Xenopus tropicalis: one gene and its partner. The protein of the gene in region 1 interacts with the protein of each later gene in a biochemical or structural test. Links are inferred from orthologs where the notes say so. Each region holds a gene or a part of one and is shown in the gene's direction. Other genes may lie near its edges.

What was found.
Region 2: the proteins of sirt1 (region 1) and rps19bp1 form a complex in vitro, tested with the Homo sapiens proteins (2 studies listed by BioGRID and IntAct). The link is inferred for Xenopus tropicalis from reciprocal best matches to the Homo sapiens genes SIRT1 and RPS19BP1.

The regions. Positions count from the first base shown.
Region 1 is NC_030683.2:38,239,719-38,244,020, forward strand, and holds the start of sirt1 (NAD-dependent protein deacetylase sirtuin-1), read left to right. Parts: upstream 1-1,493; coding exon 1,494-1,842; intron 1,843-3,863; coding exon of another isoform or gene 3,864-3,977; intron 3,978-4,302. UniProt on the Homo sapiens protein: NAD-dependent protein deacetylase that links transcriptional regulation directly to intracellular energetics and participates in the coordination of several separated cellular functions such as cell cycle, response to DNA damage, metabolism, apoptosis and autophagy.
Region 2 is NC_030680.2:121,078,648-121,082,703, reverse strand, and holds the start of rps19bp1 (active regulator of SIRT1), read left to right. Parts: upstream 1-1,252; 5' UTR 1,253-1,262; coding exon 1,263-1,317; intron 1,318-1,578; coding exon 1,579-1,743; intron 1,744-4,056. UniProt on the Homo sapiens protein: Part of the small subunit (SSU) processome, first precursor of the small eukaryotic ribosomal subunit.

The DNA.
Region 1 (4,302 bases):
TGTGGGAGGTGAACCTGGCAGGGGTTTGTGGGAGTTTGTTAGCAGTTGGAAATAGCCATTAAATGGTCCCTAAGGTGTGTAATTATGTACTGGGGGTTGCTCTGCTATCCACAGGGGAGGAGGAGGCATATGGAATTTAAGGGTATATCTTAATATGACATAATTCTTTCACATATGAATGATGGTTGATATCCCCACAGTAAGCACCAAGCATTTGGGATTTTGCTGTGCTACCACCATTGTGATAAAATGTGTGTGGTTTGAAGTGGGTGTGGTTTCAAAAAGGGGAGTGGTCAAAACTGGCTTCCATTAGCGGCCCTCCACCACGTATGCTAGAGAAATTCCGGCCCTCGGCACTGCAGCACTGCTCTATAGCCATTCTAGTTGTTCATATTCTGTTTTAGGGCTCTGGCACACGGGGGAGATTAGTCGCCCGCGATAAAACTCCCTGTTCGCGGGCGACTAATCTCCCCGAGTTGCCTACCCCTGCCATCCCACTCGCGAGTCTTTTTCGGCGATTCCCTGAAATTGCCCCGCTGCGTCTGCCATCCCACCGGCGACTTACATGTTCGCCGGTGGGATGGCAGGGGTAGGCAACTCGGGGAGATTAGTCGCCCGCGAACAGGGAGTTTTATCGCGGGCGACTAATCTCCCCCGTGTGCCAGAGCCCTTAGGGTGAAGACACACAGAGCTACTAGTAGCAGCTACTTGTAGTGGCTACTAAATTAGACAATGCTGATCATTTACTGATAACCGTCTCTATGTGTTTTTTTTGGCAATTCTCAGTATTGTCTATGGCAGGGGATTCTCTGGAGTTTAGTAACCTTGAAAAAGTAGCTGCTACTAGTAGCTCCATGTGTCTTTCCCCTTAGGGCAGGGACACATGGTGAGATTAGTGACAAATCTCCCTTGTCGCGGGCGACTAATCTCCCCGCAATGCCATCCCACTGGCTACAATTTAAATCGCTGGTGGGGTGGCATACAATGCGCAGCAATTTGCCAAAGTCGCCCCAAGTTTCCTCTTAAGGCAATTTCGGCAAATTACATCCACAAATGTGTTATGCACAGAGCTTCTAAAAATGATGCTTAAGCCAAATATTATTAACCTACACTGATTAATGACGCCAAAATGGTTTCAGCATCTCCCCAGTTCTTTTCCCCCTAGACATGAGACAACTTCAAGAGAAAGTTTTTACACGGACTATAAAAAATGCCCCTCTCCTTTGGCTTTTGTATCTGCTAACAGGCTTTGCGGGCTTGACAATCACCACACCAACACACCCCTGAAAATGACACTTTATTGCCGATTTCGCTTTCCAACACCCTCTCCGTTCGTTGTGGCGGTGCCAGCGCATCCCCAGGTACCATGCGAGTGGCTAGTTTGTTATTGTACACGTCACACGGCCGGGGAACCAATAGGAAACGGTGTATCACGTGGTTCGCTGCGCTCCATCGTACAGCTGATGGGCGACTCCTTCTCTGGCAGTGGGAAGATGGCGGACTCAGATCGTGTAGGTTTTCCCATTGCCGGCGCTGTGTTAGCTGTCTCAAAAGAAAATGGCGAGCCCCTTTCCAAAAGGCAGCGCTTGGAAGATACCGGCGGGGGTGGGAGCCAGCTTGTGGGGGCTGAAAGCGAGGGAAAAGCGGCATTGCCGCCTATAGCTGCTTCTCTCCAGGAGGAAGGCGAGGCCTCTTCGGCAATGGAAAGCAAATCCAGAGCGCACAATGGCTCGGGCTTTCAGGGCCTTCCTTTGGGAACGTATTTGGTACAAGGCCAGGAGGAGGGCGGAGCCGAGGAGATGCCCAATGGAGACCTGTCGGATCAGGCTGTTGATTACGGAGGTTGGTTCCCTTTAACTCTTTCCCTACTAACAGCGGCATTGGGCGGGGCATATTCTGTAGGTGTTTGGAGGTTCTTCAGTGCAGTAATGTGGGCGATTCAGCGCATCAGTGGGTATAGAGTGCTACTCCTCTCTCCCTTCCATTTGCTAATACTGACCCATACAAATGAAGGTGCTTTTGCCAAGTTTGAACATATATTCCATTTAAAAACATTAGCAATGGTATATGTGAGTGAGTTATTATTAACATTTATTTATAAAGCGCCAACATATTCCGCAGCGCTGTACAACAAGTGGGTTTCATACATTGGACATACAGAGTAACATATAAAGCAATCAATAACTGATACAACAGGTGAAGAGAGCCCTGCCCAAGAAAGCTTAAAAGTTATGCTTACACCCTATAGTTGGGCCGCTGCTCCTTTGTAGAAAAAAATGCACCAGCCCAGGGTAAAATCTTCACTTACCTTCTCTTTGGAATCCCTACAGCAGGCAAGTCAAAGAGCTTTACTCAACTACACATGTACAAACCCAGGCTGTGAATGGCTTGGATGTGGCTAAAATGTAGGCACATCACTACTTTTCTTCCCTTCAGGGCATTTTTCCCAAAAGGGAGGCTATTGCCTTCTCTTGGCCTTAACTATCTACACATAGGCTGTATAGAGCTCATTAACTGTCCTTGTACTGGTAGGATAAAGAAACTTAAGGGTCCTTCCTGAAGGAAATTTCAGCCTCCCCAAAACAGCTCCTTAACTGGCCTCTTTTAGCCCCACAAAGTTACATTTAAAAGTGTCCATGTGTGTGAACCTGCCATTAAATGCAGAGTAACGGGAGTCACAGTCATCACTTTTTGTATCCTCACTTTGCTGACACAGAGCCTGAGGGACATGCATAGTTAAAGCTGATCCCAGAGTAGCTCCAACTGCTCAGGTTCTGAAGAAGTGCAAGGAGGTTCTGTGAAGTGCAAGGATGCATCTAATACAGGATTCGGCCATTTTCAGCAAGATTCTGAAGATTGCATAAGCAAATTAGGATTCGGTTCCGTATTCGGCCGAATCTTTTGCAAAGGATTCAGGGTTTGGCCGGATCCTAAAAATTGTGGATTTGTTGCATGAAGAGGATCTGAAGAAACAGAAGATGGCACCTATGATCTCCTCTACGGTACTCTGCATTTTTATGGAGGTTTCACAACAGTGCAGGTCGACCTAAAACCTGCATAACCCAGGGGTTGCAATTTGTGGGTGGTGAGCCAAGTTCACTGCCACTCCCTGATCTGTCTCTGTGCTTTTCCAGCCTCCATACTACTGGGGCAGCACTTTAGCTGGCCATACACAGGTATTTCAGCTTCCGATTCGGGTCCTTCAGGCCTACACGACTGACAGTCTTAAATTGTCCAGATCTCGATGGGACAGGTGTGGTTTTCTGATTGGGGATGCATTGTCTGACAGCACCTATGACCAGCGGGTGAAGATCTGCTCATTTTGTGATCTTTTTTAGCATAATTGTCCATGTGGAATGGGAGCAGGGAGTTGGCTAATGGAGGCTAGTTGAGGGTGCTAGGGTTTGGGGGAATGAGTTCCCATTATCAGCACTGCACACAGGGCAGTTCCCATTGTTTTTTGCTCACAATGAGTAACAACTCAGGAGGTGTGGACGAAACATTTAAAATTTCCACTAGTGATGTGTAAATCAACTGTCCTCTGGTCAGGTGAGTTTGGGTTGCTGGTTCTGGTGGGTCCAGGTGCTGGTATTGTTATACCTACCATCATCTTTTTCTGTGAGCCTCCACCTTGGTGACGTCACTAACAGATTGAGTTCCAGGAAAAAGTGTATTTTGTGACCCCACTCATCACTCATTTACACCCTTTCACTGAGAGTGATTATTAAATTGTTACAAAATGTGTTATCTTTGCCACAAAGACAAAAATGTACTTGTGTATTGGATAGAAAACGTTGTTCTTGGTGCAGTCTTTGTTTCAGAAAATGCCTTGTTTTAAACCCCTTGGCTGAATTCTTTTACAGCGGGTATCCATCTGGATGATGATCTTGCTGGTGGCTTTCATTCTTGTGACAGTGAAGATGATGATGGTGCATCTCATGCCAGCTCAAGTGATTGGGCACCCAGGCCCTGTATAGGTAAAGATGCCTATTTTTGTTATAGGCCTAGTTGTGCCTAGTAGAAAGAAATAACCATGCTAGCAAAATCTTTAGTTTATAACAGAATTATCCTTACTATATTAGAAAAAATTAGTTTGAGTTTGATAAATTTATAGCATTCTCCTCTTACAGCCTTACCAATGGACATTAGACAATAAATACACAAATTTTTTTTATGTTGGACACTTGTGGTGACCTCCACTGAGACCTTTCTTATTAGGGCTTCATAAATTAACTGGTACAGAATCCCTGCTACAAAACATTCTGCTGATAGCTTTCTGACCATCTTGTGGTCTTGTTTTCT
Region 2 (4,056 bases), on another chromosome or scaffold:
ACTGTTCCTTTAAAGGGGACCTGTCACCCTAAGAAATAATTCCAGATTGTTTTCACTTGTGTTTGTCAAGCAAAATACATTTAATTTACACCATATAAATTAGTTTAATCTTATTTTCTTCAGTCTTGGAATTCACAGTTGCAGCAAGCAGGGAGGTGCCATTTTGTGGACACTGTTTAGGCAAGCTTTGTATCACCCCAAAATCTTGTTTCTGTGCCTGTATGGGGGGACCTGATGCCCATGCACTGGTTACACAATTAGATGGTGAGGAGGGAGGGGGAATGTGAGGAGTACAGTGACATCTAAGAAGTTCTGAATTGAAAGTGAAAGTAACTGCCTGCCCCACCCCTATGCCTAAGGCATAGAGGTGGGGCAGGCAATATATGATTGACAGTTGGGATTTTTAAATGCTTTTATAATGGGTATGGATGTGTTAATAAAGAAATGAGTTTGGGTTTCATATTCAATTTGAAAAGGACTTTTATTATACAGCTTTTTATGCCTGGGTGACAGGTCCACTTTAAGTAAAATAAAAAGTGTTTCAGTTGTGATTGCGGGTTACTTCACACAACACAAGCTAATAAAGTTGCTCCCTGTGGGGGGGGGGGGGTAAAGCTGTAGTGAAGGGGTTAAAGCTGTATGGGGGGGGGGGGGGGGGCTCAGCCTTCCCTCAGACATAGGGCAAACTTCTTGTATACTTAAATATACCAGAAAGCCATATAGTTAGGCTCAAACTGAAAACTCCATTCCCCCTGCTCTACATCCCTGGAACTAGAGAACGGCTTGATGGCTAAGCGGGATTGAACTGAATATTACTGCGGGAAACATTTTACAGGCAGCCTCTCATTCTAAGTTTGCGCGGGAATTGAATCCCCTACGAACATTAACTCAAAGTGAACAAAGTACCGCATTATTATGAAGCAAAAGTGACACATTTGCCCACAGGGCTAGTGAACAAAACGTTCTATATAAAATGTACATTCAAAGGAAAACACAAAGGGGCGCAACTCGTATCGCACGGAGTGTTTGGCACCCGTGTGACAGGAATTTCTGAAAATACAGAAGTCGTGCGCAAGCCCCTCCCCCCGTCCTACGCAAGCCCCTCCCCCCGTCCTACGCAAGCGGAAATAAACTCAGCCGCAGTTACTAAGAGACAAGGGTTATTTAAGGAAGTGTACGCGGCTAAGCCGGAAGTGGCGTGCCGAGCCTGCCGGAAGTTGTTTATTTTAAGCACGCGTGCATTGGAACCGGGAGCCGCGGGGATGTCTGTGTCACTGCTCAGGAAAGGCTTGGATTTGCTTAGGGAGGAAAGGAGCGGTAAGGATAGGGCAATTGCCTAGTTTGGAAGGGGCACTGTAGGGGACGTATCCGTGTAAACATGAATTTCCACCCCCAGCATTTAACAACATATAAATAAGGCTAAAAGCCTTCTGGAAGTTGTAGTCCAGCAATATGTATGGGCTCAAGATTCTTATCACAAGTTGCAAATAATGCGCAATGTTCAATGAGTGATGGTTTTTACTGTAAAGAAAAGTACAAAGTTGTGTGACCTGTACCATTCCCCTTTAACCTGTACAGGTGCAGAGTCAAGCTCCAAGAAAAGAAACTCAAGCAGCAAGCCGAAGCCCTGCCTTTCCAGCAGCAAAACCGGCATGAGAAAGCAACTGCGGCGGCTGAAGCAGCAGGGACTGCGGCACGACCAGAAAGCAACTGCTAAAGGCAGGGTGATACGGTCCGCTGTAGGTGAGCATTATATGTCATCCCACTGCCTTGCTTTGTATGTATGTATATCTTTATTTATAAAGCGCTACTTATATACGCAGCGCTGTACAGTAGAATACATTAATACAAACAGGGGGTTAATAAGATAATAGATAAATAGAAAGTATAACAATAAATACAGCTGCAATAAGTTAAGAGTCGAGGACACAAGAGGAAGGAGGTCCCTGCCCCGTAGAGCTTACAATCTATATGGGAGGGTAACTAACAGACACAAATAGGCAAATATAAGTGCTGTAGGTGACAGTGGGTGACACTACAATATAAGTGCCAGTTTTGTAATCACTTGAGTGATCTAAAGGGTTACCCATAGAAAACAGTAGTTTAAAGGAGACATATCCTATAAAAACTAAGAATGTACCAGTAAATTATACTCCTCTAAATATAGAAGGATTGTGCTTAAAAATGTTGTGTTTCTGACTGATTTATTGAGAAATTCCATCAAAACTCCACTAGCCCCGCCCATCTGTTCCACTTCCTGCGGGCTGTGATTGGCTTTCTCCTAACTACTGTGCATCTGGCAGGGACCGTTGGGACACGCCCACTCTTCATTTCACACTGGACGGAGACGTGATAGGATCTATAGGGAGCTCCAATAAGGGGGCCATTGTTACAGATAGGGTTAATGTTTAGCCCAAAGGGAAACCAGCACCGTATATTATTCATAATTGCCTACAAAATAATTGTTTTTCCCCATTTATCCAATATGTCTCCTTTAAAGCTGATGCCACACCAGGCGGATTCTCATAATGCAGAAAAACCTAGACTGAGAATCAGCTCCAGCACTGGCATCAGCCTCCTTTCTTGCCAGAACTATTGAATTGGCTGGGTGCAGGCACACGCAGCGGGAATCTTTGAAGAAACAAGAGTTTGCATTTCAGAGTCGATATCCCACAAGAGCAGACTGTGATTCAGTGGTTCCGGGTGCAGGCAAAGAAGACTGTTGCCAGTATAAGGCCTGATTTTCGGTCTTTGTTTTTCCACAGGCCGAGAATCAGCCCTTTGTGGCATCAACCTTTGCTTAAGAAAAGCACATCAATTAAGTTCATCTTTTAATTTTAAGTCAGGGCTGAATACTCGGCATGTTTGTATGACATTAGGAATTTAATATAATCTAACTCACAAACTAATTTAGCATATTCCAAAGGAAAAGGAATAACCCTATCCAAAGCAGCCTTCCACTTCCCTCAGAAAGGAAGCAATCGTTCCACTGCAAACTGGTATATTGGGCAGTTTTTGGATTTATATTGTACTGATGTATTAATGACAGTAACCTTGTACTGCTTTGCTTGATAAAAGGTATCCAACGCTTACGGAAGTTAATTGTTGCCAATACAACTGTTAGTGTGTCCTACTACTATTTCCACCTTTTTCCACTCCTTGAGGGCAATGAAATGTTTTTGGGTTTTTTTGCTACTTGTGGTAAACAAAACATCAACTGTATGTTTTTTCTCCCTGTAAACCGTTGTGGCTAATAACTGCCCTAAACTGGACCTTTTTGCATTTTAGAGGACTGTACCCTTTGCAGGGCAAACCACATTTATATCAGAGGTAGGCACCACATGTGAGGGTAGCTGCAAACAATGTGTCCTCCTTCCCTCTACTTCCTTCTAATCTCAGTGGGTGCCCTTGGACTGTCTGTAAATTAACATCCAGAAAGCTCATTGATCTCTTCATAACAAATTCAGCATGCACCAAATCCATAATTGTTGGAGTTGGCTATATCATCCGCAACAGATTGATCCAAATACACAAGATAATGCGAAGCCATATATGCACATTTGATTCAAGTCAACAACATTGCAACTGAAATATGTCACCTTCAGTTGTCCAGTTTGAAATTTCATGGTATTACGGTTTCTGGGAAACACTAGGCATTCAACTAGATTTAAAATTTTTGGAGAAAGATCCTGTTTCCCATGATAACCTCTTTTAGATTGTATATTATCTTGACCTCACCATCCTAACCACATAACCAAGACCCTTCATTGTGTTTAGTGCACTGAAAGGGAAGAAATATTCTATGTATATTCAATATAGTCTTTTCAGCTTAAAGGATTACTGTAATTGGACAACATGTTTTCCCATGACACATCAGTTAATAGAGCTTCTCCAGCAGAATCCTGCTGGTTTTAATTTTGAAATTTCACATGGGGCTAGCCATACTCTTCATTTCCCAGGGTGCCACAACCATGTGACCTGTGCTCTAATAAACTGCAGTCACATGCTGAGCTGCAAGTTAGAGTGATATCACCCCTTTCCCAGAAGCCTATCAGC